Macaca fascicularis: one gene and its partners. The protein of the gene in region 4 interacts with the protein of the main gene of each other region in a pairwise test. Links are inferred from orthologs where the notes say so. Each region holds a gene or a part of one and is shown on either strand. Other genes may lie near its edges. The genes, in order: NVL, BAG3, WDR83, HSPB1, PPM1A, PELO and FXR1.

Region 1 (4,750 bases), on a different chromosome or scaffold from region 4:
TCCAGACCAGCCTGGCCAAGATGGTAAGATCTCATCTCTATGAAAAATTTAAAAATTAGCCAGACGTGATAGTGCATACCTGTGGTCCCAGCTACATGGGAGGCTGAGGTGGGAGAATCACTTGACCCCATGAGTTTGAGGTGGTAGTGAGCACTGTTTACACCACTGCACTCCAGCCTGGGTGACAGAGTGAGACCCAGTCTCAAAAATAAAAAATTAAAATTAAATTAAATTAAATATATAGCTAAGTGAAAATTTATTTAAAATCTTGTGTAAGACTATCTTCAGGCCATGTGTATAAGGTGTATATGAAACATAAGTAAACTTCATGTTTAACTTGGGTCCCATCCCCAAATATCTCATTATGTATACACAAACATTCCAAACCCTGAAAAAAATCAATCTGAAACATTTTTTGGTCTTAAGCATTTAGAATAAGGGATATTCAATTTGTACTTTTATAATGAACCGAAGTGAAAGCTACAGAGGAAAACTGATAATGTCAAAAGTTGAAAAGCAGTCAAGTGTGAGGACAGAGAAGAGGCCACTAGATGCAGTAATTAGGAGTCACTGCTCAGAAACTTGAATAAAGTGAAGGAGCAAGTTGTGGGATGCGGGAACATCCAGAGGAAGAGTAATTCAGAGTGAGTGAACAACGAGAACAAAGGTCCTGTGCTTGGCATGTTTGAGAAGGTCTGTGTGGTTGGAACAGGAGACGAAAAGTAAACTAGGACAACAGAGGCCAGAATATGCAGGGCTTTTCTGACTGGGTTTTACTCTAGATGTCTGTGACTCCACTGAAAGGTTTTGAGCAGGGCTATGGCAAGCTCTGATTTTTCCCTTTTTTTTTTTTTTTTTAAATTATACTTTAAGTTCTGGGATACATGTGCAGAACATGCAGGTTGCTACACAGGTATACAAGGGCCATGGTGGTTTCCTGCACCCATCAACCCGTCATTTACATTAGGTATTTCTCCTAATGCTATCCCTCCCCTAGCCTAATTTTTCCCTTTAAAAGGATGTCTTGGCCATGCCTGTAATCCCAGCACTTTGGAAGGCTGAGGCGGGCAGATCAACTGAGGTCAGGAATTCAAGACCAGCCTGGCCAACATGGTGAAACCTCGTCTCTACTAAAAATAGAAAAATTAGCCAGGCGTGATGGCATGCACTTGTAATCCCACCTACTTGGGAGGCTGAGGCAGAAGAATCGCTTGAACCCAGGAGACAGAGGTTGCAGTGAACGAAAAAAAAAAAAAAAAAATTAGATGTCTCTGGCTGCTCTGTGGGGAATAGGCTTTAGGTAAAAGCAGACTCAGAAAGACCAGTTAGGAGGCTATTGCAATAGTATAAGGTAGAGATGATGGTTTGGACTAAGATGGTTATAGGGAAAGACAGTAAGAAGTACTTGGAATATATTTTGAAAGTAAAGCAAACCATGCTGTTGATGGATGGTATACAGGAAATGAAAGAAAGACTCAGAATGACCCTTAAGGCTTTTGGCCTTAACAACTGGACAAACGGTGGTATCACTTACCGAGATACAGAACACTAAGAAAGGGCAGGTTTGAAGGAAGAAAAAATCACAAGTTCCACTTGGCCATTTTAATTTGGAGATACGCTAACTAGGCAGCTGGATATATCAATCTGTACTTCAAGATAAAATCTGGACAGCAGATACAAATGTAGCCGTCATAAATATATAGAGGACAGGACAGCAGCTTGCACCGGTAATCCCAGCACTTTCGGAGGCTGAGGACTGATCGTTTGAGCCCAGGAGTTAGAGACCAACCAGAGTAACATAGTGGAACCCCGTCTCTACAAATGATAATAATAATAATAATAATAATAATAATAATAATAATAAATTGGCCAGATGTGGTGGTGCACACCTGTAGTCCCAGCTACTGGGGAGGCTGAGGAGGGAGGATTGCTTGAGCCAGGGAGGCCGGGGGTGCAGTGAGCTACGATTGTGCCCATGAACAGCCACTGAACTCTAGCCTGGGCAACAGAGCGAGACTGTGTCTCAGAAAAATAAAAATAAAATGAAATAAATATATAGATAATAGAATACATAGAACTATTCAAAGGTTATTAGACTAAATGAGATCACATAGGAAGTATGGATAGATAAGAAAGGTGTATGAGGAAAGAGGAGGAAGGGAAGGGAAGAGAACAGTGGCTCAGAGCACTTCCAACATTTACAAGTTGGTAGGAAAAGATGGGTCCGAAAAGGAGATTGTTTAGGGGCTGGTGAAGTGAAAGAAAAACAAGGAGAATGTGTAGCTCACCAATTCCTAAGTGAAGAAAATTCTCTCCCGCCTTTTAACTCAGACTGCTTGTTTACATTCTAAGGTATTTGCCACACACTGCTTTTTACTGATGGTCATGAAAATGAGAAAACCGTAGGCAAAGTGCCTGTTACTGTTGCCAGACCGTGTTATCTCGTTTTAGTGTGTAAGTTCCTTGACGGCGGAAATTAACGTATTATTTATGCCACCCCTTTTCAAGGACCTCTTACAATGCGAGCGTTTGAAGACCATTCCTGTACTAACTTCACAAGTCAAAGAGGTTAAAATTCAAAGGCTAACTCCACTCTACTGAATGATCTGCGCTGAAGACGACCAGACATCCTCGGCAGCCCCACCAAGCTGCACCCTCCCACTGTCCCCGGTTTCTGCTGAGACTCCGCACCAACGTGGGTAGGGAAGGCCCCGGCACCACCAACGAAGGAGGAACAGACGCACGCCCAGACCCAGACTGGAGAAAAGAAGACTAGTTGAGTTCCACGTGGACGCCACCCGAAAAAAAGGGGAGTGGCACCCTGGGGCAGTGATCGGGGCCCTTGGCGAGACCGAGCGGTGCAGAATACACACCTGGATGACTCGTTGCTTGAGTTTATTATCTACGAACCGGGCGGGTCTAGGCTTCATCGTCTGGGTCTTCCAAAGCCACAGCTCGGACCGTCAGCTCCCAGTCAACCGGGGGCCTCGTAGGGGTTGCCCACCGCGATCGCCGGGCCAGTTGCACCTGAAAAGCGCCCCTCCTGGGGCCTAGCCCGCGCCGTTTCCTTCAGAATAAAAGTAATCGAATGGGGGGCGGGAAATTCCGAGGAGCGGGAGAAGACTTGCAAACCTCAGGGAGTTTCTAGGGGCCTTATTTTGCAGGCCTGCCCAGTGGGCCCTGGAAGATTAGGACCCCTTTGAACGCGCTCAACTTTATTGGTTCCCCGCCGGGCGAACCAGGCTGGAGGAAGTTCCTACCCCGGCGCAGCGTGGGGACACGCTGTCAACGCGTCGGCTGGGAAAGTTGGTTTGCTTTCCTCAGGCGTTCCGGCCGCACCTCGTTCTGATACAAAGCTAGTCTTCGCAAAGCCAGCGGCGGTAGATACTTGGAGTGATAAAATCAGGGTAAAAACACACTACCAGCTGTTGCTTGCTTTCCCACGTAGTTACCTTACATTTTAGAGGCCCAACAAAAGGGCTAGGTGAAAAAGAAAAGGACGGATTTATCCTTATAACTGAGGATAACTAAGTCATTTTTTACTTTCAGAACTCGTTTTACTTACGCTGTTATCATCGGCAGGTAATTTGTTGAATATATCCAGTGCAAGACTCCTTGGCCCAGATTTTATCAAACATTTGTATTTGTCCCAAGAAGTTTATCCTGCACTTAGGGAGACACAAAGGGATAGTTACCAAGCACTAAAAAAAAAAAAAAAAAAAATATATATATATATATATATATATATATATATATATATATATATATGGGCTTTAGTTTCTGTCTTCTTGTTTATTTCTTCCGTGTTTTGAGTATTCTTATTTCAGGTCCTACTTGGCTCATGACAAGGTGAAGTGCAGTATATTAAGGGGCAGAGGGGAAGAGAGAAAATGGAATTAAGAGAATCACACACAAGGGTGTGAGGCCGGGCGAGGTGGCTCTCACCTGTAATCACAGCACTTTGGGAGGCCAAGGCGGGCAGATCACTTGAGGTCAGGAGTTCACGACCAGCCTGGCCAAGATGGTGAAACCTTGTCTCTACTAAAAATGTAAAAATTAGCACTGAATTAAGTATTAGATTTCTCACCCAAAATATTGGTCCCTTTGGTTGCAACTTCATTTCTTCTTCACTATATGTACTGTTTTATTTTTATTTTTTTTAGTTGTGGTAAAATATAAGAACATTTACAATCTTAAACATTTTAAAGTGTGCAGTTTAGTGATATTAATACATTCATAATATGCAAGCATCACTGCCATCTAGCTCCAGAACTCTTTTCATCTTGTAAAACTGAAACTCTATACTAATTAAAAAATAACTTCCCATTCCTCCCTCCCCCCAGCCCCTGGCAACTGCCATTCTACTTACTGTCTTCATGATTTTGACTACACTAACTTCCTCATATAAGTGGAATCTTCCCATATTTGACTTTTGTGAGTGGCTTGTTTCTTAGCTTAATGCCCTCATATAGCATGTGTTAGAATTTCCTTCTTTTCTTCTTTTTTTTTTTAGAAGGAGTCTTGCTCTGTTGCCCAGGCTGGAGTGCAGTGGCACAATCTTGGCTCACTGCAACCTTCACCTCCTGGATTCAAGAGATTCTAACACCTCAGCCTCCTGAGTAGTTGGGACTACAGGTATGTGCCACCATGCCCGGCTAATTTTTTGTATTTTTAGTAGAAATGGCATTTTGCCATGTTGGCCAGGCTGATCTCAAACTCCTGACCTCAGGTGATCCACCTGCCTTGGCCT
Region 2 (4,033 bases), on a different chromosome or scaffold from region 4:
GGGAGATGGAATTTGCAGTGAGTCGAGATCGTGCCACTGCACTCCAGCCTGGGCAACAGAGCGAGACTCCGTCTCAAAACAAAAACAAACAAACAAAAAAACAAAATATAGGAAGAGCACCCCCTCCCTCACCGGGCTGCTCTGAAGATGACGTCAGTCACCTGGGCATGTGCCTCAGCCCCAGGCCAGCACACAGGAAGCGCTCATACAGGGGATGTGTTGTCCTCATTACCCTTTCTTTGCCAATCTACAGAGAACTCGGCTGAGCAACTGGGAGCTAGCTGCAAGCATCCCGTGTGGCCCAAGGCAGCTCAAGTCCCTTTCCCTGCTGGGCCACCTTCTATTCACCTTGAAATTGAGAGCATTTCCCCTTCTAAGTGCCTTGTTAGCTTAAATTTGTGAAGATGTCTCAGATTTACATGTCACTTTGATTTCTTGCAGCAAAACCATTATAAATATAGGTATTACTTCTTTTTTTGTTGTTGTTGTTTTTGTTTTTCTGAGACAGTCTCACTCTATCACCTAGGCTGGAGTGCAGTGGTGCGATCTCAGCTCACTGCAACCTCTGCCTCCTGGGTTCAAACAATTCTCTGCCTCAACCTCCTGAGTAGCTGGGATTACAGGAATGTGCTACCCCACCTGGCTAATTTTTGCATATTTTGTAGAGACGAGGTTTCACCATGTTGGCCAGGCTAGTCTCAAATTCCTGGTCTCAAGTAATCCACCTGCCTCAGCCAGGTACTAGCTCTTTAAGAAAAGAAAAAAGCCTCTGCTATTCCACATTAACTGTAACTTTTCACTCTCAAGCAGGTGTGAAGCTGAACAGATTCAGAGGGAGCTGAGAGGCAAGTGTGACTCTGGGTGCAGATAGGACATGGGAGTTTGTGCCCAGGAACAACGCCGACACACACACGGGGATGATCTACAGACAGGAAAATGAGAGGGCTTACTGCTCAGGAATCCTACTAGGAATGCCTCAAATCTCAGCTAAGAACCAGGTTAAATATTTTTTAGCTATTAATGCACAGAATCCATTGACATATCCCTGAGATGTTTGGCTTCAGGATTAAAATGCCGTCTTAAAGCAGTTGCCTTGCTGACTCCTTATTTCTTTTTAAACTGTGGTGCACAGTGAGGACAGGCATGGGGTCTCATTTTCCTATCAATATAGCTCCACCAGTGGTTAAGACTGATCCATAAGCATTGAACTGAACAAAACAGTACACAGCTATCTCTGTGTTTCTGAATAGAAAGCCCAGTGTGAATGAGGAGCACGGAAATTAGGAGCCAGAAGGCAGGTCAGGCTTCCGGTCCCAGCTCTGCTCCCTCCACCTGCGTGCATGTGGAGCAGGCAGGCTGTAGTGTGCCCTTCCGAGCTGTTCCTTAACTACAAAAAGAAGCCATGTGATTCCTGCCCTGCCCCACTGAAGAACAGCCCTATGAGATGCTGGGGGATGACATGGGGCTATCACCCTGTCTTTGCTGGGTGACCTCTGATGCTGCAGGCCAGGCCTAGATGCCCTGCATGTGAACAGGTGCCTGGCCCAGGGCAGTGTCCTCGGGGACTGGGCCCGGCCTGGGAAGCACAGCGGCTCACTCCCCAGCAGGCCCGTGAGCCTGGCCTCTCCTTACCTCAGGTCCGTGAGAGGCTGGGGGCTGGGCTGCCGCCACTGCTGCCACCTGTCCACACTGTTTATCTGGCTGAGTGGTTTCTGGCATACCCCGCAGAGGTGACTGGGACCTCTGAGGAGCCGCTGGTGCCGCCTCAGTTCGGAATCGCTGCATCCCAGGCTGGGGATAGGCATGGAAAGGGTGCGCCTGCCGGTTCTCAGCGCCTTCATGGAGCACGGGAATGGGAATGTAGCCTGGTCGGAGCTGGGGATACACAGGGTGGCCTTCCCTAGCAGGTGGCAGTCTAGAGCTCTCCCGGGAAGGGCCATTGGCAGAGGATGGAGTCTCCTGAAATAAAAAGTGGAGAAACACAGGCTCGTTAGAAACCGGGAAGTGAACCCTCCTGGCGGAGAAAACTGTGGCACTTGGCACTGTGATCTTCCTGAGTGACTTGGGCCTCACAGCGTCAGCCAGCTCCCAGCCCCTGCACCCTCCAAACCTCTACCCCTATAGAGCCTGCTGTCTGGCCAACAGTTTACGAACTAGGGACATCAGGAGAAAGCCAAAAGTATCTGTTAAGCACAGGAAAGGTTCCAATTCCCCAAACTGGTAAGACAGGTTTCTTTTCTGGGTGAACGAGGGCAGCAGTGGGTGTAGGAGAGCCGCCCACGCCCGCATTTTCAGAGACCTGGATCAGAAGGTAAGCTCCAGGAGCAGGGGTCAGCTCCAACCTCTACATTACAGCAAGCATCTCTGTTTCTAAAAAGGCCCTCGCGTTTCCCAGCAACACAGAGCTTGTGCTGGGCCCAAACACAGGACACAGTTTGGGAATCTTTACAGAGAAGTGGGCTGGGGAGTAAGGGCTGCCTCCTCAGGAGTACTGTTAGAACAATCTGCAGGGGCCGGGCGCGGTGGCTCAAGCCTGTAATCCCAGCACTTTGGGAGGCCGAGACGGGCGGATCACGAGGTCAGGAGATCGAGACCATCCTGGCTAACACAATGAAACCCCGTCTCGGCCGGGCGCGGTGGCTCAAGCCTGTAATCCCAGCACTTTGGGAGGCCGAGACGGGCGGATCACGAGGTCAGGAGATCGAGACCATCCTGGCTAACACAATGAAACCCCATCTCGGCCGGGCGCGGTGGCTCAAGCCTGTAATCCCAGCACTTTGGGAGGCCGAGACGGGCGGATCACGAGGTCAGGAGATCGAGACCATCCTGGCTAACACAGTGAAACCCCGTCTCTACTAAAAATACAAAAACTTAGCCGGGCGAGGTGGCAGGCGCCTGTAGTCCCAGCTACTCAGGAGGCTGAGGCAGGAGAATGGCGTGAAGCCGGGAGGCGGAGCTTGCAGTGAGCTGAGATCCGGCCACTGCACTCCAGCCTGGGTGACAGAGCGAGACTCCGTCTCAAAAAAAAAAAAATAAAAAAAAAAAAAAGAAACCCCGTCTCTACTAAAAATACAAAAAAATTAGCCGGGCGAGGTGGCGGGCGCCTGTAGTCCCAGCTACTCGGGAGGCTGAGGCAGGAGAATGGCGTAAACCCGGGAGGCGGAGCTTGCAGTGAGCCGAGATAGCGCCACTGCACTCCAGCCTGGGCAACAGAGCGAGACTCCGTCTCAAAAAAAAAAAAAAAAGAACAATCTGCAGGACGGGGAAGGACAGGGATGCAGAGGCAGCGCAGGGGGAGAGGAGCACCCAGGGTTAACTGTGCCGCCTAATGATGCCAACTGACAAAGATTCTCTGCTTGGCCAAACCTTAGGCTTCTGAAGCTTCTCCTAGGCCCATCTGTGCACTTCCTTGTAAAGTCAAGTTTTAGCAAAAGACACTGTTAAGACAGTTTAGCCAGAAGGCCCCTCCCCAGCCTCACTATCTGATCAGCTTCCTCAGCCTCCATCATCCCCAGGTGCTGTCTAATCACCCTGGCCTGTCTTCAGCAAGAATCCTGTTTGGTCAGCGTAGCCAGAAACGCCCTTAGCCCTGATGCTTCCTCTTCTAATGTTCCATCCACTGACCCCCACACTGCTCCCTATCAGTTCCCACGCGCCTGTGCTGTACGTGAAGTTGCACCCAGTCTCTCCCCGCAATTGCAAGACCCCACTGCCATGGTCCCTGTGCCTATCTTGATGGCCCTGAATAAATCTTCATGACTGTGCTTTAACAAGTATCACTGAAGAACTTTTTCTTCAACACAACAGAGCCTGCTTGGGCAAGGAGCAGTTGGAGTCCTTCTCTTATGCCCTCTCTTGAAGTTCTCCCTTCAGTGGCCTGGCTATTTTCAGACCCTTGAGAAGGCCAAGTTCCAGATGTACCGCAGGAAAGATCTTATTTCAGACAACAAGGCTGGCCAGTCACTCACTGGGCAGTGCCATCTCTCAGCAAGCTGGGGCTGCGCAACAGAAGTCCTAACAGTCCCCGAGCGCT
Region 3 (4,466 bases), on a different chromosome or scaffold from region 4:
CACTCGTTCTCTAGGCCAAGTCTCACATGAAGCTACTCATCATTTGCTTCGTGTCCTCCGAGCTCCGAGAGTTGGCAAAGCTGATGAAGGAGCAGTAGACAGCGACCCAAGCACACCACTTCAGCTGGGGAAAGGTAGGTGGGTGGGCAGGTCAGTGAAAGGCACAACAATGAGTCCCGAAGCCACCTTTCCAGACACCAGATCTTGCCCACTGATTCCATCTGATGCAGCTGGGACCTTGCCCCCCGGAACTCCTCAGTCCCACCTGCTCATGGCATACTCCAGATACATGGTTTCTAGTCCTACTGCCTGGACTGCGTCTCTCAGGGCCAAGACTCTGACATCCCACATGCTTAAGACCCTGCCCCTTTCCACGAGTCCCCTCCAAGTTGCTTCAAAGCCTGGCCCCACCCGCAGACCAATCTGCCACATCCCCGCCCTGACCCGAATTCTTGACTTCACCAAAGACTGGGGCTTTCTTGGCCCAGCGTCATCCCAGCCCCACTCCCGGCCGATCTCAGGTCCTGCCTCATCAGCAATGACAAGACGCCCGGCTTCATTCCAAACCCGCCCCCGGGCCTCGTTCTCAGGTCTAACTACACCCACAGAAGCTCAATCCCGCCCACCTTAAGCATGAGGCCGCACATGCTGAAGATCATGCCCAGCAGGTTCATGTAGTCCGGCGTCGGGTCGTCCAAGGCCGGGTTACATTCGCTGGGCGGGGGCTTGTACCTGCGACAGGCTCGAGGGTCAGGGGCGCTCAGGTCCTGTCCCCGGGATAGACAGCCGCTTCCCAGGGCCCCGATCCACACCCCCAACCCGAACCCGTGGCCACGACGCTGGCGTCCTCACCTAAGCACTTTGTTCGGCCTCCGTGGGTCCGACATATTGTTAGTAGACATAGCGAGTCGAAGGCCAGGTCACGCCTCTTCCGCTGCAGAAATTGCAGCTTCCGGCGTGCAAGCTGAGGGCGGATTTTAGAGTCACACCCGAGGCCCTCACATTTCCGTTCCTCATGACAGAGGCTTGGACTCCTCCTACCCAGAGATCGGAAATTTAGGAGAATCCAGAAGCCTTCCTTGCAAAGGGGAAATGGGGAAAAGAACCTGAAATCGGGCTTCAATAGTTCCAAGAAGAGCACCCAAATGCCAAAATGATGAACCCGGAAGTGATAAACAGGAAGTAGTTCAGGAAGAACAATAATAAGGTTACACCCAAGCGTGGGTTTCGAAGGCGCGGAATCTTCCATACAGACCGATTTAAGGCGGCGAGGAAGGGGTCCTGGGACTATGGCTTTCCCTGAGCCAAAGCCGCGGCCTCCGGAGCTGCCGCAGAAACGGTTGAAGACGCTGGACTGCGGGCAAGGGGCGGTGCGAGCCGTACGATTTAATGGTGAGCGCCTTAGTCTTCATTCCGGGTCCTCCTCCCGCCTCCTGAGGTCGGCGGCCCAGTAACCCCCGCCTGGTGTTCCCCAGTGGATGGCAATTACTGCCTGACGTGCGGCAGTGACAAGACCCTGAAGCTATGGAACCCGCTTCGGGGGACGCTGCTGCGGACGTACAGCGGCCACGGCTACGAGGTGCTGGATGCGGCCGGGTGAGCCGGGGGCCAGGCTGGGATGGGAGCGCTGAGGCTGGGATCCGAGGTCGATGCTGATCTTCTTCCTCCTTTACTCCAGCTCCTTTGACAACAGCAGTCTCTGCTCCGGCGGCGGGGACAAGGCGGTGGTTCTGTGGGATGTGGCATCAGGACAGGTCGTGCGCAAATTCCGGGGCCATGCAGGGGTGAGTGAAAGCCTGGAGACCCTCATTCGAGCGGAGGGGACCCGTATTAGCGCACAGGTGGTGATGAAGCCACCCCCATTACACCGTAAGGATCCCTTCCCCAGATGACGATCCCCCGCTCCGCATGCCAGGCTAGGCAGTCACCAACCCCTGTCCTTGCTGTTCCCCCAAAACCTTTCACCTCCCCTTCTAACCTTTGCCCTTGCTTTAACCGACACTGGGAACCCTGCCTTTATCCCAGTCCTCCAAAGTCCAGCCTCCTCTGAGTGGCAATAACTTTCTCAGAAGGTGAACACGGTGCAGTTTAATGAAGAGGCCACAGTTATCCTGTCCGGTGAGTCTGGGACCTACGCAGGGGGGTCCAGGATGCTGCCCTTCCCCTCCAAACCTGACCTCACCATCATGCTGGCCTCACAGGCTCTATTGATTCCAGTATCCGCTGTTGGGATTGCCGCTCACGGAGGCCTGAGCCAGTGCAAACGCTGGATGAGGCCAGAGATGGCGTGTCCAGTGTGAAGGTGTCAGACCACGAGGTCCTGACAGGGTGAGTGGAGCCAGGACCTGGTCTCAGCCGAGGTGCTACTGGGAATCATAGCTGCCCCCATGCTCAGATTAAAACCTACTCTCAGCTGGGCACAGTGGCACACAGCTGTAGTCTCAGCTACTTGGGAGGCTGAGGTGGAAGGATCACTTGAGCCCAAGAGTTTGAGGGACCACTGCACTCCATGCTGGGTGAAAGTGAGACTGTCTAAAAAATAAAATAATAATCAAGCCGGGCATGGTGGCTCACACCTATAATCCCAGCACTTTTGGAGGCCGAGGAGGGCAGATCACTTGAGGTCAGGAGTTTGAGACCAGCCTGGCCAACATAGTGAAATCCCGTCTCTACTAAAAATAAAAAAATTAGCCGGGTGTGGTGATGGGAGCCTGTAATCCCAGCTACTTGGGAGGCTGAGGCAGGAGAATCACCTGAACCCGGGAGTTGGAGGTTGCAATGAGCCGAGATTGTGCCACTGCACTCCAGCCTGGGCAACAGAGTGAGACTCCGTCTCAAAAAAAAAAAAAAGATAAAATGAAACGATTTAAAAAGTTAAATAAAAATAGACCGGGTGTGGTGGCTCACGCCTGTAATCCCAGCACTTCGGGAGGCTGAGGCAGGCGGATCCTGAGGTCAGGAGATCGAGACCATTCTGGCTAACACGCTGAAACCCTGTCTCTACTAAAAATTCAAAAAATTAGCTGGGCGTAGTGGCAGGTGCCTGTAGTCCCAGCTACTTGGGATGCTGAGGCAGGAGAATGGCGTGAACCCGGGAGGCAGAGCTTGCTGTGAGCCAAGACTGCACCGCTACACTCCAGCCTGGGCATCAGAGCGAGACTTCGTCTCAAAAATAAATAAACAAAACAAATTTAAAAAAATAATCATAAGGAAATTTTTTTTTTTTTTTTTTTTTTTTTTTTTTTTTTTTTTAAGATAGAGTCTGTGTCGCCAGGCTGGAGTACAGCGACGTGATCTTGGCTCACTGCAACCTCCAGCTCCCGGGTTCAGGCAATTATCCTGCCTCAGCCTCCTGAGTAGCTGGGACTACAGGCATACGCCACCACGCCTGGCTAATTTTTGTATTTTTAGTAGAGACGGGGTTTCACCATGTTGGCCAGGAGGGTCTCCATCTCTTGACCTTGTGATCCGCCTGCCTCGGCCTCCTAAAGTGCTGGAATTACAGGCGTGAGCCACCGCGCCCGGCCGAAATAATATATTTTCTATTCATTAAGTGGAAGTGAAGAGATCATCATAAAGATCTTCACATTGAGAAGGCGGAGGAGAAGGAGGAGGAGGGGTTGGTCTTGGTGTCTCAGGGCTGATAGAGGCAGAAGAAAATCCACATATAAGTGGACTGCTTCAGTTCAAACCCTGTTGTTCATGGATCAACTGTACTTTGAAAAGTGCTCCCTCTGGTGGCTGTGGGGGTGCAGGGAGACCAGAGCAGTCTAGATGATGGTGCTGGGTAGTGGGGAAAGTGGTGGGACTGAGTACTGAGGAGGAGGAGCTGGAGAATACAGAAGGGGGAATTGGGCCAGGTGGGGTGGCTCATGTCTGTAATCCCAGCACTTTGGGAGGCTAAGGTGGGCGGATCACCTGAGGTTGGGAGTTCAACACCAGCCTGACCAACATGGAGAAACCCTGTCTCTACTAAAAATACAAAATTAGCAGGGCATGGTGGTGCATGCCTGTAATCCCCTCTACTCAGGAGGCTGAGGCAGGAGAATCGTTTGAACCTGGGAGGCAGAGGTTGCAGTGAGCCGAGATCAGGCCATTGCACTCCAGCCTGGGCAACAAGAGCAAAACTCTCTCAAAAAAAAAAAAAAAAAGAAAGAAAAGGGAGAATCGGAAGGTCGCCAAGGGTTTGGAAAAGGGGTGTGGGTCTTGGAAACGATGCAGTAAGACCTGACTGGCCCTGGGCCTGAGTCTCAAGGCCAGAGCTTCAGAATTCCACTCCTGTGCACTGGAAGAGCAGGCCCAGCGGGCTGGGAAGGCACAGGGCTGCCTGGAGCCATGGAGCCTAGGCAAGGCTCCCGCTGGATCTACCCTCTCCCGCAGCTCCGTGGATGGCCGCATGAGACGCTATGACCTGAGGATGGGCCAGCTCTTCTCAGACTACGTGGGCAGTGAGTGTGGCCGGAGAT
Region 4 (3,782 bases):
GTGAGAGACAGATATCTCAAAGCTTGCCAGGTCCACTGCGGTGCCCTTGGGGTGTGCTCAAGTTGACGCCAAGCTTTTGACATAGTAATCCTCCCATCAGCTCTGCGGGGAAGTTCAATTACCTCTGTGCCCCTTCACCTGGGACCCAGCCTAGGTGCTCCTGGGAACTCAAGCCTCAGGTGCTTCTCCTAGTTCCTCCTCCTTCCCGACTTTACAGCTTTAATTGCAATCATAACCTTGCAATCATGACCTTTTTTTTTTTTTTTTTTTTTTTTTTTTTTTTTTTTTTAAAGACAGGGTCTCACTCTTTCTGAGCTTTTGATTGTTTTGTTTTTTTGAAACAGGATCTTGCTCTGTTGTCCAGGCTGGAGTGCAATGGCACGATCTTAGCTCACTGCACCCTTCAACTCCTGGGCTCAAGCGATCCTCCTGCCTCAGCCTCCTGAGTAGCTGGGACTACAGGCATGCAGTAACACCCTGGCTAATTTTTATTTTTTAGAGACAGAGTCTCACTACATTGTCCAGACTGGTCTAGAATTCTTGACTTCAAGCACTTCTCCTGCCTCAACCCCCCAAAGGGCTGGGATTACAGGTATGAGCCACTGCGCCCGGCCCTACGACCTCTCTTTATGTGAGTCAGCCCGTGTCCAGCAACCTACATCAGTGTACCAACATGGCCCAGCACGGGGCTGGGCACACAGTACACCCTGAGTAAAGGTGACTTGTGGAAGCCAGCAAATGGCAGGTGCCTGAGGCTTCCTTCCACAAATACCAGGGTCTGAGCCAGTGACAGGTGGGTTACTTGGAACTTTATTTGAGAAAAACAAGATAAACGTATCAAAAGAACACACAGGTTGAGGGTGGGGGGGCGCAGCCAGTGGCGGCAGCAGGGGTGGGCATCCGGGCTAAGGCTTTACTTGGCGGCAGTCTCGTCAGATTTTGCAGCTTCTGGGCCCCCAAGCTGGGCCCGCGACTCGAAAGTGACCGGGATGGTGATCTCGTTGGACTGTGTGGCTAGCTTGGGCATGGGGGCTTCCACGGTCAGTGTGCCCTCAGGGGACAGGGAGGAGGAGACCTGGGTGGGGTCCACACCGGGGGGCAGCCTGGACGTGCAGAGAGAGAAGGCGAGCGTTACATTACACACTGGGTGGGTCCCTGTGCCCTCCTCCCTGACCCCCGCCCCCCGCCCCCCACCCACCCCGATCTGGCGCCAGGACTCACGTGTATTTCCGCGTGAAGCACCGGGAGATGTAGCCATGCTCGTCCTGCCGCTCCTCGTGCTTGCCTTTTGGGGAAAGAGGGAAATCAGACTATGGGGGAGGGGACCGCCTCTCGGCCCCGCCAGGCCAGAGGCCCCACCTCCTGCTTGGAAGCAGCTAGGACTGCAGGCCGGCAGGGATTAACGGAGGGGGTTGGGGGTGGGGGCGTGCCCGCCTGTCCGGGTTCTCAGAAACTTCCGGAAAGTTCCTCGATTCAGAGTTTTGGGAGGAATGGAGCAGGGCGCCGAGCTGGGGAGTGAGCAGTGCCCAGGCGCACTTGGAGCCGCACGCACGCCCTCTCCGCGGCTAGAAACAGGGAACCCGCTTATCTGGGGATGGGGTTGTGGGTGGGGAGGGGGCTCTGTGGAAAGGTGCATTTTCTCTCTTCATTGATGGTCTTTTAAAAAATTTTTTTGGTTGCTTTTTAATTTTTTTGTAGTGTTGGGGGGCGTCTCGCTATGTTGCCCGGGCTAGTCTTGAACTCCTGGCCTCAAGCCATCCTCCCGTCTCGGCCTTCCAAAGCGCTGGGATTACAGAGCACAAAGCGCCCTTAGAAGCGACCTGCACTCCCAATTCCTGAGCAGAGGAATCAGGGATCCTGTTTTTCCCGGTGCTGGGCTAACATTTAACTCCCCAGGCCCCCGGGACCCCCGTTTCAACCGCACCCCTCCCCCGGCCCTGCCCGCCCCGCTAGCCTCCTCCCCTCCTCTGCAGGACCAGGGGGACTCACCGGTGATCTCCACCACGCCATCCTTGGTCTTAACCGTTAGCTCGTCCGGGGCGAAGTGGTTGACATCCAGGGACACGCGCCAGCGGTCCGCCGTGTGCCGGATCTCCGAGACCCCGCTGCTGAGCTGCCGGCTGAGCGCGCGGCTGTAGGCGGGCGCGGCCACCGCGGGGCTCTCGATCGCGGCGGGGGGCAGGGGGCGCACGTAGCCTGGCCAGCTGCTGCCGCCCAACCACTGCGACCACTCCTCGGGCAGCCGGGGCAGCCCGAAGGCCTGGTCGAAGAGGCGGCTGTGCGGGTACCAGTCGCGGAAGGGATCCCAGCTGGGGCCCCGCAGGAGCGAGAAGGGGACGCGGCGCTCGGTCATGCTGGCTGACTCTGCTCTGGACGTCTGCTCGGAGAAGTGCGGGGCGCTGGGCCCGGCTGCGCTTTTATGCGGTTCCAGTCGGGTATTTTTAGCAGGCGGTGTTTGAGGTCTCTATTAATGGCAATGACCCGTTTGAGGGCCGCCCCTCCCCATGCACTCCTCCCCTAGCGTTCAGGGGCCGTGGGCGGGGCGAAGAGGGTTCTGCCCTCATCTGGAACCTTCTCTCGTTAAGGAAAACAAATGAGTTCGAGAGCTCGAAGCTGGAGCCGTGCCACGGCAGGGCACTCGCCGGCCCTGGTGCTTAAGAGCTGCCGACTGTGACCCGTGGCCAGGGCCGTTCTTTTGTTAAGGAGGACAGAGCCAGGCAGGTTGGGTTGGGGCATACAACTGAGAAGTGGCAGCGGCAGGATTGGAATCACAAGCGTGTGAGATGGAATGTGATATAAAGCAGGCTGGTGCTTGAGCCCAGGAGTTCGAGGCTGCAGTGCGTTATGATCTTACCACTGCACTCTAGCCTAGGCAACAGAGCAAGGACCTGTTAAAAAAATTTTTAAAAAGGGGCCGGGTGCGTGGCTCATGCCTGTAATCTCAGCACTTTGGGAGGCCAAGGCAGAAGGGTCCCCTGAGGCCAGGAGTTTGAGACCATTCTGGGCAACATAGTGAGACCCTACCTCTACCAAAATTTTTTTTAAAATTAGCTGGGCATGGTGTGCACGCCTGTGGCCTCAGCTACTCTGGAGGCTGAGGCAGCAGGCTCCTTTGAACGCTGGTGAGCTCCTTTGAACGCTGGTGAGTAGAGGCTTTGGTGAACCTGGATTGCACCACTGCACTTCAGCATGGGCTGCAGAGCAAAACCCTGTCTCAAAATAAGTAAATGAATAAATACAAATACAAAGATAAAGCAGTCTGGGCTGGGTGTGGTGGCTCACCCCTGTAATCCCAGCACTTTGGGAGGCTGAGGTGGGAGGATCACCAGAGGTCAGGAGTTTGGGACCAGCCTGGCCAACATGGTGAAACCTCATCTCTACTAAAATTACAAAAATTAGCTGGGTGTGGTGGCGGGCGCCTGTAATCGCAGCTGCTGGGGAGGCTGAGGCAGGAGAATTGCTTGAACCCCGAAGGCAGAGGTTGCGGTGAACTGAGATCTCACCACTGCACTCCAGCCTGGGCGGCAGAGCGAGACTCCATCTCAAAAAAAAAAAAAAAAAACAATCTGGTAATCTGGTACGGTTGTTAGGAGTGTGGACTTTGAAGCCAGACTGCCTGAATTCACATCTTGGTTCTGTCACTAAGCAGATGAACTTGTGCAAGTTAGATTCTTTATGCCTCTGTTTCCCCATCTGGAAAATGGAGATTTTGATGATGGTAACAGTCATGCATTGCATAAAGATGTGTAGGTCAGCAAGGGACAACAAAAAATATGAAGGTG
Region 5 (4,819 bases), on a different chromosome or scaffold from region 4:
AGTTCGTTGTGGATATATGCCACTCTTTGATTAAAAATTACAAATAAGCACACACACAGTTAAAGCAAAATCAGCTGTACATTCTACTAGCTATTAGAGTAAACAAATGGCCTAGGTATAATCTGAACAAACTCAAAGACTATAGGTATTTAGTAACTGCTTAGCAATATTTACCACATGACAAAATGATGTTGCCATAGATTTCTTTCAAAAACAAATGAGGTATTACAGAATTTTCAAAGGTTTAACAAGACCCAGCTTGAAGTGACAGAAAAAACCTTCATAATGTATTTTTATAATATCCTTCACATCAGACTACCAAGGGTCCTGTGCTTGTTCAAACCTGTAGTCTCAACCACCCTCTGTCTCCCATGAAATCTCCATCCTTCTCCCTCTCAAGAGTTTCTCTATACATCCCAATCCCAAAAGAAAAATCAAGAATAGCTTACAAGAATAGCTTTTCTAAAGAACCATCACCAACTTAGAATTTGTTAAATAAAACAGAACCGAGAAAGAAATCCAGCCTTAGAACACCGAAACATCTAAGTGCCTCACACATAACAGGTATTTATTTGGCAAAGGTATGGTGACTAGTCACACAATATTGATAAGAAAATTTAAAAATGTAATAACTGGACAGTACATATGATAATCTAATCTGCCCAACTGGCTTTACTGATTTGGAAGCTGAAACTCAAAAGGTTAAAGGACTTGTCCATGGACACAGATATTTTGGAGCATAGCCATGACTAAACAATCCTTGTCTCCTACTGCACTGTTCCCTTCAACCGGTCATATACCTCAGTCCATCATGTAAAAATATACAATATGTATACAAAATACATAAAAAGATACAAACAAAAAGGAATTTGATGACTATTATTTCTCAAATATAATGGAGGTAGTTAACTTCAAACATTATCAGTCTTAATATACCTTTCCCATAATGTAATTACTTCACTGATCTAAAAATGTTTTATGATATCAAATTAAAATGTCTTAAGCAACTGCCATGTGGTGCAGGAAGTTCATTATAGTTTCAATAATGTGGTACTGCTGTAAACTTCCAGGTTAAAAGTAATCATCCTTAAATGACTGAAAGTTTAATCAGATACATGTAAGTTACACATAACAAGAACAAAACTGTAACACTTGGAAATGTTACTTTGTGCTTCAAATTATTTATTGGTAAAGAAAGCATTAAGTCAATAAAAGTAACATCTAAGAACAGAAAATCTCCTTATTTTCAATTTTCTCATTTGTAAAATAAGGAGTTACAGAAAAACAATCTTTGGAAAAGGCCCAATATGTAGCAAGATAAAAGTATAAAAGTGAAGTATTTCAAAGAGAGTTGGGGACCAAACTCTGCTAAATTCCTGAGTGCTCTGGAACCCTAAGTCTCAGCAGAGTGGTGTTTCAACAAATCCCTCCACTTTTCGGAGCGAAACACACTCAGTAAAGTGGTTGTGTTTAAAACCTCAACGTGCAAGTTTGAAAAGACTGTTTTACACAACAATGTTTAAAAATTTCTAATTTATCTCAATAATGTCAAAATCATTTCCTTTGAGAAAATGACACCTCTCTCTCACACTTTTCCAACCACTTCTTGAAACACATTCAGCTCATTATTCCAATTAGCAGGAAACTCGGGGTGAGGCGGGGGTAGCACACAGACCCCATGGCTTGGACAACTGAAGCATGACCTTTGTGGATTTATAAGTACCATGTGGTGTTTGAGGAGAGAGAAGAAAAATACCTCAGGTGATGAAATTTTCAAAACGTATCTAAAACTGCAGTTGGTAGAAGGCTCTCCACAGCCAGCTGTCTTTCAAGAAAAGGATCCAAGTTTAATTAAAATCTACAAGCAGAACAGAACCATACCTCAACCAAGCTCTAACATCAAGAAGTTTTAACCAATTTACGTAGTTAAAAGGATGAGAAATCGGAATTTACTTCAATGGATGTTTTCGATGCCTTAATAATGAATGAACTGGAGGCATCACTCACTGACTTGAGTTCTGAAGGAGCTTCTCAGCCCTGCCCCCTGTAAACCCTTAAGCAATTTCTACAGAATTAGGTTTTTCGAGGCTAAGCCCGATTCAAAAGAAATCTCCCCGCCTCCCTCCCAGGGGCCAAAGCCCAGGACAGCAGGGGCGGCGCGCCCGGGAGGGTAGGGGCGGGAGGACGCCCCCTCCCCGCTCGGGAAAAGTTCCGCAGGCCGCTCTCCGGCCAGGCTGGCCCGCGGCCCTCGCCCGCTTCGCCGCCACAAACACCCCTCCCGGCCGCGGACGGCCAGGGGGTCGCGCCCCCTCCCCGCGCCGCCGCCACAAACACCCCGCCCCCGCCTCACCGCCACCGCCCTCGCCGAGCGTTAACCCCTCGCCGCCCGCCGCCCGGCTCGGGGGAGGAGGCCGGCCAGGGGGTGGAGTTGTCGCGTCTCCTCCCGGGAGCGCCCGGGCAGACGCCCGGCTTGTTTACAGGCCCCAGGCCTGCCCGCCGCCGCCGCCGCGCAGGCCCGCACCGCCCGCCCGCCCGCCGTCGGCCCAAGCGCCGCACTTACCCGGAGCAGCCGCAGGCGGGCAGGTCCCTGGTCGGCCGAGGCGGCGGCGGCGGCAGCCGGGGAGGGGGTCACCGCGGCGGCGGCGGCGGCAGCCGGGGAGGGGGTCACCGCGGCAGCGGCGGGCCAGGTCAGGCCGGGGAGGGGGCGGAGGAGGGGAGGAGCCGGGTTGCGTCCGGGCCCCCGGCTCTCGGCGCCCTCGCGGCTCAGATCATCCGGGCGTTGGAGAGGGAGGCAGAGAGCGGGTCCCGGAGGAGGAGGAGGAAGAGCCGAGGATTCATCGCTTTCGCGCCTCACCTGTCTAGCGTCCCCCCACCCCCCCTCCCCAACCACCCGTTCCGGAGCAGCAGCCGCCTGAGGACCCGAAGCTGCGGGCCGGACCGGCGCCGAGACCACTGCTCTCTAGCTCCCGCGCGCGCTCCCGTCCCTAGCGCCGCCGCCGCCGCCGCCGCCGCCTCTAGCGCGGCCCCGCGCAGGCGCGCTCACGACCGCGTCGCCCCTCCCCCACCCTCCGCTCGCCCCGCCCCGCTGGCTCCACCGCCGCTACAGCTGCGGCGCGGCGAGCAGCTACAGAGACCCGGATGTCGTTGGGCAGGAACTGCGGCGAAGGCTGGCGGGCGGGGGAGGGGCCGCCACAGATGACGTCACTGCCCTACCCAGCCTCTTTCTCCGCTGCTGCCGCCGCCGTCGCCTTGCGGCCTGGAGCACCAGGCTGAAGCCGAAGGGAGCGGGGTCCGGATAGCAGCGAGGACTCGGGCCTTCACGTTCTGGCGTCAGGGACTGGACAGAATGTGCGACTATTCGGTGCCCAGTAGATGGACAGCCCCTCCATGCCCGGCCCTTGGCCAAGTAGGGACTTGGAAGCTACCCCTACGGCGTCCGCGCCCCGAGCCCTGGCTTTCTACCGGCCTGCAGATACAAACCCCACTCCCTGCGAAGATGGTGTACACGCAGCCCCGATCACAGACCCGGAGCTGTCCACCCTTCTTGGGCGCCGTCGCGGTCTGGCCGCTGCCCTTCGAACCCATGATGGATCCCAGGCAGCTGCCAGACCCCCCTACCCCAGAGTCCCACGCCTCCAGAGCCTTCCTCTCCCAGTGACCCCATGAAGCCCAAGCAGGTGCCACGGCCACACACCTCGCGTCCCGAAGGGCAGAGACACGCACACTACCACCGCCCACCCACGTGCGAGTGCAGCTGATTCACGCACGGGGCACATGCTCTTTCTGGCAGGTTTTCCCTCTGTAGCTCAGGGGATTCCACATTGTATTTATTTGCACATGTTAGATAATCACGTGATTCTGTCCCAGGGGACCTCCAATGACCTCCAATGAGGTAGGTGAAGGAAATAGGATTTTTCAAAATCAGGAGAATAATCAGAAACATAACAGCTGCTTCTGTTAAGAGGTAGAGATGAGCTAAAGTTAATAGAAACTGCACGTGCCGGCTGCCAAAATCCAGTTCAGCTAGCTAGAAAACCCGACCCACGCTGCTTGCAGACGCCGGGTATAGAATGACAAACCCTAGGCAGCCAATGAATCGCAGCCTAGGAGCAGTACATCACCAGCATGAGTTCCCATTGGCTGGGGTGCCCTTCCCTCTCTTGTCAGCGGCTTAACCGGTTCACAAATTTGACCTACACATTCACAGGAGAAGAAGTTATAAGAAAAGTCCGTATTTTTAAAAGATGTTCTGATGCACACACAAAACAAAGACTTCACTGTAGAAGGCAGGTTCTTCTACTGGCCAAATTGAGTTCTGGCCAGTAAAAAAGGTAAATTTATGTTGAAGGCCTCTCTGTTTTACTTGAGGAGCTTACTACAGCAATTTGCACCTTACTACTTTCTATCTCCTAAACCATTTTGTTGCCCCAACTCTTAGATCAAAAGCAAACTATTCATTCTTTCTGGCATTCAGCAAGCATTTAACTGCTTTTAAAGTTGTAAAAAGCCATCTCCAATTTTCTCAACATGACTTTGGGGAAGGTTCTGTTTCCTTTACTTTTAGACCTAGAACCTAACAACACGATCAAATGTATAATCGCCAGTCACTGGCAAACCAAATCGTCAAGGAACGCAAAAATTACTTAATATCTTTGGGGTTAGAATTTCTTAGAAGATGAACATGGATCATTTCCAGATATACAAAATAAAAATAAAATTCACTATGCATTTGGTCTCAGTATCATCTGAGGATACATTTCCTAATTCTCCACATACCTCCCCACCCCCACAAAAAAAGAAATTAGATCAAAGATCTTTG
Region 6 (3,007 bases), on a different chromosome or scaffold from region 4:
ATGACTTCCAGCTTTGCCACTAATTAGCCACATAACAAGCAAATCACATACTTCAATCTCATTTTAAAAATAAAGATGCCTCAAGATTATTTTGACAATCCCTAGCAGATCAAAGCTCTAAAAATCTAAAAATAACTGATTAAGTTACCCTCTAAATCAAATATGACTAATGCTAACAACAACAAAACAAAACCAAGAATTTCCTTTTAACATGATTGGTTCAACAAGCCTTTGAAGAAAAATATTTAAAACTTGTCTTCAAGTCTACTAATTGTACGGCAATCATTTAAAATAGTAAAACTATTTAAATCTAAAAAATATGTAGTGTGTGGAGGTGGGGAGAAAAGGGATCATTAAATGCAATGCAAGAACACCATGCAGAATTAAAATAAAGAAATAATGCAAACTGAGGATAAGTTAGCAAAAGCTTTTTCTAAGGAAAACTGTTTCAAAGCATGCAGTGTGAAATTTTACAATTTACCCCAAACAACATACTATATAGGCATCGTTATTAAATACACACATTTTCTGTTTCCAAGTACTACAGATAACTCGTAATTCCTATAAAAATTACCCAATTTAATAAAGATGGTAGTACGTGGAGATTATTTCCTTTTAGTTTATTGTTTAAATACATGTTCTGGCAATCACAAAATATCTAGTGTAGCCAAATACATAAGAAATCCCTGTATGAATAAAAAAGTGCCATTCTTGCAGCTTTCTGTCACAAGGAAGCTGAGAAATGTACTGTAACAGTTTAGGAGACACAAGATTGTCTCAGTTTTAAGTTTCAATCATTAATCCTCTTCAGAACTGGAATCATCCTCTTGGTCAGAGAGTTCGGGAACAGGGAAGCGGAGAATGGCAGCTACCCCAGTCAACTGGCTGAGCTGTTCCCCAGAAACGTGAAGACTAGAGAATATCCTAACGGTGCCTGCATTCTCTTTCACACTGTCCACCAGCCTCACATACCGGCTCCGTGTGGCTACATCCTGATGCCTGAAGAGCTCATCGCTGATGAGCAATGTGTCAATTGCCATGGCTTCATTGGCCTTCTCCACCTGCTTGAGTCCATAGAAAGCTCGATCCGGTTCATGTTGTAACATTTTATAGAAGTCATCCAAGGCCTTGACTTCCCCAGCAGCTTTAGTGTCTGAAAGGCGGCTAGCTACAGTAGGGTCACAAAGGGCCTCTTTCAGGGAGTACTTGTGTCCGGAGGAGGCATGTACCTAGAATCACAATTATAAAAGTTAGGCAAAAGAATCTCTCAGAACACCCATTGATCAGCCCACAAAGGCTTAAAGCCAAAAGCGCTAATAAGGCTTCATATGTTTCAGCAAAGTTGACTCCACAAATTTGCTAGATATCTAACATTCTCTTTTTTTTAATTTCATTATCTCATGAAAATTCCAGGTAAGTAAAGCCTTTCTCCTCTTATTTTTCCCAGTTCTAAAACTTTAGGAGTAGTTTATACCAATCCCTCTGCCCATTCTTAACTATCCCTGGGTAAGATTGTTTTACCTGAAGAAATTTGGACCGGTTTTCCAGGAGCAGTTTGTTGTCGGTCTTCACTGCTTGTTGAAACATGTAGTCGCAGAACTGCTCCCTCACAAATCCTGGGCTGGCCACCAGGATGCACTTTACAACATCAAAGTGTATGTGGCGCTGGATAGCCTGGACCACCTGTTCATAGAACCGCTCCAAGGCCCGGTCATGCTGAGAGCAATTGCCTTTCCTTTTCCTAGGGATGTTCACCTCCACCTTGGCCCGAGTGAGGGTCATGCTGGGAGTGACTAAGCAGATATGGGCGAGGCCTTCCTGCATGACCACAGCTGCCACATCAGCGCTCCAGGCTGGGTCACAGGCCTGCTCGATGCGCTCCAGAACCACACTATCCCACTGTTTCTTGGCTAGGGTGAACTGGCGGTTGGGCTCCAGCTCGATAGTGTGGTAAGCCCCCATCTTGACATACTCATTCTCTTGGATGTTGGTCCCCTTAACCCGCAGCTGGCAGGCTTGAGAGTCGAAGTCGATGGCCTCCACGCAGAGAGTGAGGGTAGTGCGGACCCGATTGCTGCCCACGCTGCCCGTGGAGGACTCGGTCTGTACCTTGCGGATGGTGGAGGCGCGCAGGCTGTCGCCCACTTGCACGAGGTTGTAAGTGTGCCACATGTCCTCAGGCTCCTCGGGGACCAGGGTCACCTGGCCTGCATTATCCTTCTCGATGTTCTTCCTCACGAGCTTCATGACCAAGGAAGGGGCTCACTGACAGAACTACAGGAACCAAGGAGGTCCTCACCTCCGCCCCGTAGAGGAGACGGGAACGCAGGCCGGGAAGGGGGCGGGGCCCGGTTTCTATGGGCACTTGCCTGGTGGGAAGGAAATACTCTTGCTTCGACTCTTGCAGCCTAGGGGAGCACTTCCTCTATCCTTTCCTCGCTCAGTCTGCGGGCTCGCTGCGCCTAACAGGCACGGGAAACACAGCAGCGAAAATCGTCCACTCCGCGGTTCCCGCTGGCAGCCCGAGGCAGCGGGCTGACGTAATGAAGGCGCATGCGCAGCCCGCGTCCCGCGACCCGACGCACGTCCACGTCCCCAAGGGGGAGGCGGGGCCGCAGTCCGCGCACGCGCAGGCGCACTAAGCTGTGAGGCGCTCGGGACGAATGAACTCCCTAAAGAAGGTGCAGAGTGGCGGCGAGTCCTTTAGTTTAATGCCAAACTTGAACTTCCTAAGTTTTCTCTTCCATCCCTGTCTGTGAAGAATCCGGGGAGTGTGTGAGTGCAAATATTAGTTTTACCTGGCTGCGGCTGCCACTCTGAAACGCTTCCTTCTGGGTAAATTAAATTTCAAAACTTAGCAGTAAAAGTAGCTCTCAGAAGTGCAGATTTGGCCCCAAAGGCCCAAACTATTGTCGTTTTTGCACTTGCCTTATCCGCACTCGGACGCTACAAGCCTGTTGGAGCTGGTATTTAGACGCAGTTTCTGAGAACTACTGATCACGTTCTG
Region 7 (4,033 bases), on a different chromosome or scaffold from region 4:
GGGAAAATGTTTTGTAGGACTGAAAAATCTTCTTAATTCACAGAACAATTCAATAGTAAATAAAATTACTCACGCCTCTCTCAAATCCTCAGGAACATCCACTGTGCATTTAAAGAAGGTATTTTTTTTGACAGTTTTATTTTGATTGACAGGCCGAAGTCGTTCGAATGTGACTATTTCATTGTAAGTAGCGTCACAAGCAGCATATTCAATGACATAAAACTAAAAGACATCAAAATACTTTAAAAATCCCATCTGAACAAAAATAATGAAGTTTAAATGAAGTTCTAATTACCTTGCTCAGCTTAACCAATGGACCCTCCCCCATGTGGCATAAACACTAAGCACAGCTTAGTTACATAAATCTGATTTGCCTAAACTAGATTATAGGTTCTTACAAGCATGAACCTTGGTGGTCCTTACATGCTTGAGGTGTACCTCTGGAGAGCAGCTTTGGTGTTTGCCAATACAGAACACAAACAGAAATAAATGCTAATGGAAATGTGTGATCAACTATTTCTCAGGTAGGCTTTCAGAAATAAAACTAACAGTTGAAATAACATTTACAAAAACCAAACACTGAGGTAATTCCTTAGAAACTAGTCACAAAGCAAGTGTGAAAATTACTTACTTCTCCTTTCATCATCCGAACTTTAGCCAACCACCATCCACATGGCTCTTGGTCATTTGCTCTTGAATATACCTGAGAAGAAAAAAAAATGCCTATATCCATTCATCCCAAAAGATTTCAATGCTGTAAATAATGACTTTTTATTAATGCCCAATCCCATTAAACTTAAGAATCAAAAATGCTATTTAAACTGGTATATTAAATGCAATTTAATGAAAGTGATATGTACATTTAAATTTACTACTTAAAAATAAAACTACACTTTTTTGGGCAATTTAGCTTCTTGGAAATTAATTCCACATTCATGAGGTTTACTAAACATAAGTATTATTTTAAAGAAATACTCTTACAAAGGAGTTTTAAATAATGTAAAACACAGGTCTTCCTGTTTCTGTCAACATTGTTAATATTAAAACTTGTTCTCAGAAAGTGATTAACCTAATTTTTAAATTCCATCGAGGATATGACATTTAGATCCCTTGCTGAAGAACCTAAATCAAATGAACTAAAAAAAAATTGTTTAACTGAAAAAAAAAATTACACACATTCAGTTCATCTAGCAGAATACATTAAGTATATTACAAAACTCCTATCCAGGCTGGGCACAGTGGCTTACGCCTGAAATCCCAGCACTTTGGGAGGCCAAGGTGGGTGGATAACTTGAGGTCAGGAGTTCGAGACCAGGCTGACCAACATGGTAAACCCTGTCTCTACTAAAATACAAAAATTAGCTGGGCATGGTGGCAGGTGCCCATAATCTCATCTACTCGGGAGGCTGAGGCAGGAGAATCACTTGAGGCAGGGTAATCACATCCAGGGGGCAGAGGATGCAGTGAGCAGAGATCATGCCATCGCACTCCAGCCTAGGCAACTAGAGCGAAACTCCATCTCCAAAACAAAACAAAAACTATCCACAAAAAAACAAGTCTTATATTCTTCATGTCTATAAATATCAGTTTTATTAATGCAATAGGTCACAGAAGCTTTTACTTGGGATTAGAGTTATTTCTTATGATACAGCAGAGCTTCTTTAATGCATTATATTTTCAATATAGAGAAAGGTAGAAAAGTTGTTTCTGAGAAGAAACTACTAAGAACCAATAAAAACCAAGATTGAATGCCTTTGCAGAGATGACCAAGGAAACCTATCAGTGGATATTAACAGACTTCTGGGAGATAAATGCAAACAACTAAAAACAAAGACTTTTTTAGCCTGAAGCTTCTATCAGGATGATTTTAAAGTAATCTTGGAAGTGGTAGGAATACTGGAACTGGAAATGAATAAACCAAAACCTACTAATGAACTTTACTGTACACCATGATTAGAAAAAAATCTATGAGAAAAACCAGTAAGTCCAATTTACTAATCAGGGTCCATTAAACTCAATTTTAGTTTTTCCATTTCTTTTATAAACAGATCTAACTATTCAAAGGGATCAATATCTCATGACTTATATTCTTCCTTAGACATATTCCAAAAATAAGAAAGTTTAACACTAGAATAAAACTCACCCTTATACTCTATTATATGTATCCACTGGGCCCTTTTATAAATGTAAGGAGAATCTAGTGATCTTATTTTTCCTATGTCTTGAAACACTTTACTATTTCATCAACATTCATCAGTTATTCTCAGCTATGCTTTAAATAAAGACTAACATGGAACAGAGGAATGATGGCATCACCTAGAGGATGCAACAGTGAAATAAACTGTTAATGTTCATACAGTTTCCTTACTGCATAGCCCAAGGTATCACATCTCTTTCAAAACAGTTCAAAAGATCAAAAACACCATCCTTGTAGTCTGCTTTTAGCTACCGTTGACCAGTTGATAATTATGAATTTTTCACTCATAATTGCGAAGAGAAGAAAAATTTACAGAGGAAGGCCTTTCTAATTAGTAGAGGTATCAGACAACAGATGCAAAGAGACAGCAGCACACTAGGTTCTACTGATAAATGTGAAATCATCTTACAAAGCAAAGTCTCAGACTATGAAGTCTTCAGATGGTGACATCTTAGATGAATATTCTCAAACAATGTATTTCTAAGAAGAGGGAAAGATGATGTGCATTCTCATCCAGTTAATGACTCAACTGAGACTGCAAAATCCTCCAACCAGAAACCAGATCATCCTGGTTTGCTAAAAGGGTATTAGACAGTGTTCTTTCATCTTTTAAGATGTTTGTGGTCAGGCGCAGTGGCCTACACCTGTAATCCCAGCACTTTGAAGGGCCAAGCGGGTGGACTGCTTGAGCTCAGGAATTCAAGATCAGCCTGGACAACATGATGAAACCCCGTCTCTACCAAAAATACAAAATAAATTAGCCAGGTGTGGTAGAGCACACCTGTGGTCCCACCTACATGGAAGGTTAAGGTGGGAGGATTGCTGGAGCCTGGGAAGTTGAGACTGCAGTGAGGAAAGATCGTGCCACTACACTCAAGCCTGGGTGACAGAACGAGACTCTGTTCCAAAAAAAACAAGGTAAAATAAAAATTGAAGATAAAATTTTAAGAAATGTTTGTATGCCGAAATGTACTTCGTAAGTGGAAATGTCAAAAGCAGATGTGCATACAAAGGTTAACTAGAAAAAAAAAAGACAATGAAATGCAAAAATATTCAGTAGATTAGTCAATTCAATTGACTAAAAATACTATAATTACAGCAGAGATGGCTATCCCTTCCTCAATAGAATGAGATGCCACTAAAAGTTCCAAAGTATTCAAGGACTGCATTCTGATAATCTAACTGTAAGAATAACCAGAATAAGCTAGAATTTATTAGACATATATTTTAAATCTGCTAGCAGTATTTGTAAGATTGGTATGTCCTAGGTTCATGTGTAACAGTGAGCAGTTAGTTACATTTAGACAACTGCATTCATTGTAGATACATATATCATCAAAATCTGGAAAATATGAAAAAGTTGGATTTGCTATGTTTAAACTCTTATTAAAATGTCTAATAAGGCCATGCGTGGTAGCTCACGCCCGTAATCCCAGTACTCTGGGAGGCTGAGGTGGGCAGATCACTTTGGCTCCAGAGTTCGAGCCCAGCCTGGACGACATGGAGAAACACCATCACTATGCAAAGTACAAAAATTAGCCAGGCATAGTGGCATGTGCCTGTAATCTCAGCTATTTGGGGGCCTGGGGTGGGGTGGAAGGATCGCTTGAGCCCAGGAGGTCAAGGATGCAGTGAGTTGTGTTTGCTCCACTATACTCCAGCATGGAGTCAATAATGGCCTTAAAAAAAGTCTAATAATGGCCGGGCACAGTGACTCATGCCTGTAATCCCAGCACTTTTGGAGGCTGAGGCAGGAGGATTGCTTGAGCCCAGAAGTTTGAGACCAGCCTGGGCAACACAGGAAGATCCCATCTCTATAAAAAAAATTTTTTTTTT

The links.
Region 1: the proteins of HSPB1 (region 4) and NVL interact in binary tests that used the Homo sapiens proteins (3 or more experiments, as listed by UniProt). The link is inferred for Macaca fascicularis from reciprocal best matches to the Homo sapiens genes HSPB1 and NVL.
Region 2: the proteins of HSPB1 (region 4) and BAG3 interact in binary tests that used the Homo sapiens proteins (3 or more experiments, as listed by UniProt). The link is inferred for Macaca fascicularis from reciprocal best matches to the Homo sapiens genes HSPB1 and BAG3.
Region 3: the proteins of HSPB1 (region 4) and WDR83 interact in binary tests that used the Homo sapiens proteins (3 or more experiments, as listed by UniProt). The link is inferred for Macaca fascicularis from reciprocal best matches to the Homo sapiens genes HSPB1 and WDR83.
Region 5: the proteins of HSPB1 (region 4) and PPM1A interact in a two-hybrid assay, tested with the Homo sapiens proteins (2 studies listed by BioGRID and IntAct). The link is inferred for Macaca fascicularis from reciprocal best matches to the Homo sapiens genes HSPB1 and PPM1A.
Region 6: the proteins of HSPB1 (region 4) and PELO interact in binary tests that used the Homo sapiens proteins (3 or more experiments, as listed by UniProt). The link is inferred for Macaca fascicularis from reciprocal best matches to the Homo sapiens genes HSPB1 and PELO.
Region 7: the proteins of HSPB1 (region 4) and FXR1 interact in a two-hybrid assay, tested with the Homo sapiens proteins (2 studies listed by BioGRID and IntAct). The link is inferred for Macaca fascicularis from reciprocal best matches to the Homo sapiens genes HSPB1 and FXR1.

The regions. Positions count from the first base shown.
Region 1 is NC_088375.1:82,137,859-82,142,608, forward strand, and holds the start of NVL (nuclear valosin-containing protein-like), read right to left. Parts: upstream 2,981-4,750; 5' UTR 2,931-2,980; coding exon 2,874-2,930; intron 1-2,873. UniProt on the Homo sapiens protein: Participates in the assembly of the telomerase holoenzyme and effecting of telomerase activity via its interaction with TERT. Involved in both early and late stages of the pre-rRNA processing pathways.
Region 2 is NC_088383.1:128,681,429-128,685,461, reverse strand, and holds part of BAG3 (BAG family molecular chaperone regulator 3), read right to left. Parts: intron 1,960-4,033; coding exon 1,633-1,959; intron 1-1,632. UniProt on the Homo sapiens protein: Co-chaperone and adapter protein that connects different classes of molecular chaperones including heat shock proteins 70 (HSP70s), e.g. HSPA1A/HSP70 or HSPA8/HSC70, and small heat shock proteins (sHSPs), e.g. HSPB8.
Region 3 is NC_088393.1:13,054,702-13,059,167, forward strand, and holds the start of WDR83 (WD repeat domain-containing protein 83), read left to right. Parts: upstream 1-1,222; 5' UTR 1,223-1,289; coding exon 1,290-1,392; intron 1,393-1,475; coding exon 1,476-1,596; intron 1,597-1,678; coding exon 1,679-1,784; intron 1,785-2,069; coding exon 2,070-2,118; intron 2,119-2,201; coding exon 2,202-2,328; intron 2,329-4,380; coding exon 4,381-4,448; intron 4,449-4,466. Other genes in the region: WDR83OS (PAT complex subunit Asterix), read right to left, coding at 27-124, 627-732, 853-902. UniProt on the Homo sapiens protein: Molecular scaffold protein for various multimeric protein complexes. Acts as a module in the assembly of a multicomponent scaffold for the ERK pathway, linking ERK responses to specific agonists.
Region 4 is NC_088377.1:51,430,525-51,434,306, forward strand, and holds HSPB1 (heat shock protein beta-1), read right to left. Parts: upstream 2,394-3,782; 5' UTR 2,354-2,393; coding exon 1,990-2,353; intron 1,286-1,989; coding exon 1,222-1,285; intron 1,104-1,221; coding exon 914-1,103; 3' UTR 791-913; downstream 1-790. UniProt on the Homo sapiens protein: Small heat shock protein which functions as a molecular chaperone probably maintaining denatured proteins in a folding-competent state. Plays a role in stress resistance and actin organization.
Region 5 is NC_088381.1:128,107,710-128,112,528, reverse strand, and holds the start of PPM1A (protein phosphatase 1A), read right to left. Parts: upstream 3,017-4,819; 5' UTR 2,561-3,016; intron 1,822-2,560; exon of another isoform or gene 1,757-1,821; intron 1-1,756. UniProt on the Homo sapiens protein: Enzyme with a broad specificity. Negatively regulates TGF-beta signaling through dephosphorylating SMAD2 and SMAD3, resulting in their dissociation from SMAD4, nuclear export of the SMADs and termination of the TGF-beta-mediated signaling.
Region 6 is NC_088380.1:58,213,373-58,216,379, reverse strand, and holds the end of PELO (protein pelota homolog), read right to left. Parts: 5' UTR 2,248-3,007; coding exon 1,522-2,247; intron 1,230-1,521; coding exon 798-1,229; 3' UTR 609-797; downstream 1-608. UniProt on the Homo sapiens protein: Component of the Pelota-HBS1L complex, a complex that recognizes stalled ribosomes and triggers the No-Go Decay (NGD) pathway.
Region 7 is NC_088376.1:92,786,346-92,790,378, reverse strand, and holds part of FXR1 (RNA-binding protein FXR1), read right to left. Parts: intron 704-4,033; coding exon 632-703; intron 223-631; coding exon 74-222; intron 1-73. UniProt on the Homo sapiens protein: mRNA-binding protein that acts as a regulator of mRNAs translation and/or stability, and which is required for various processes, such as neurogenesis, muscle development and spermatogenesis.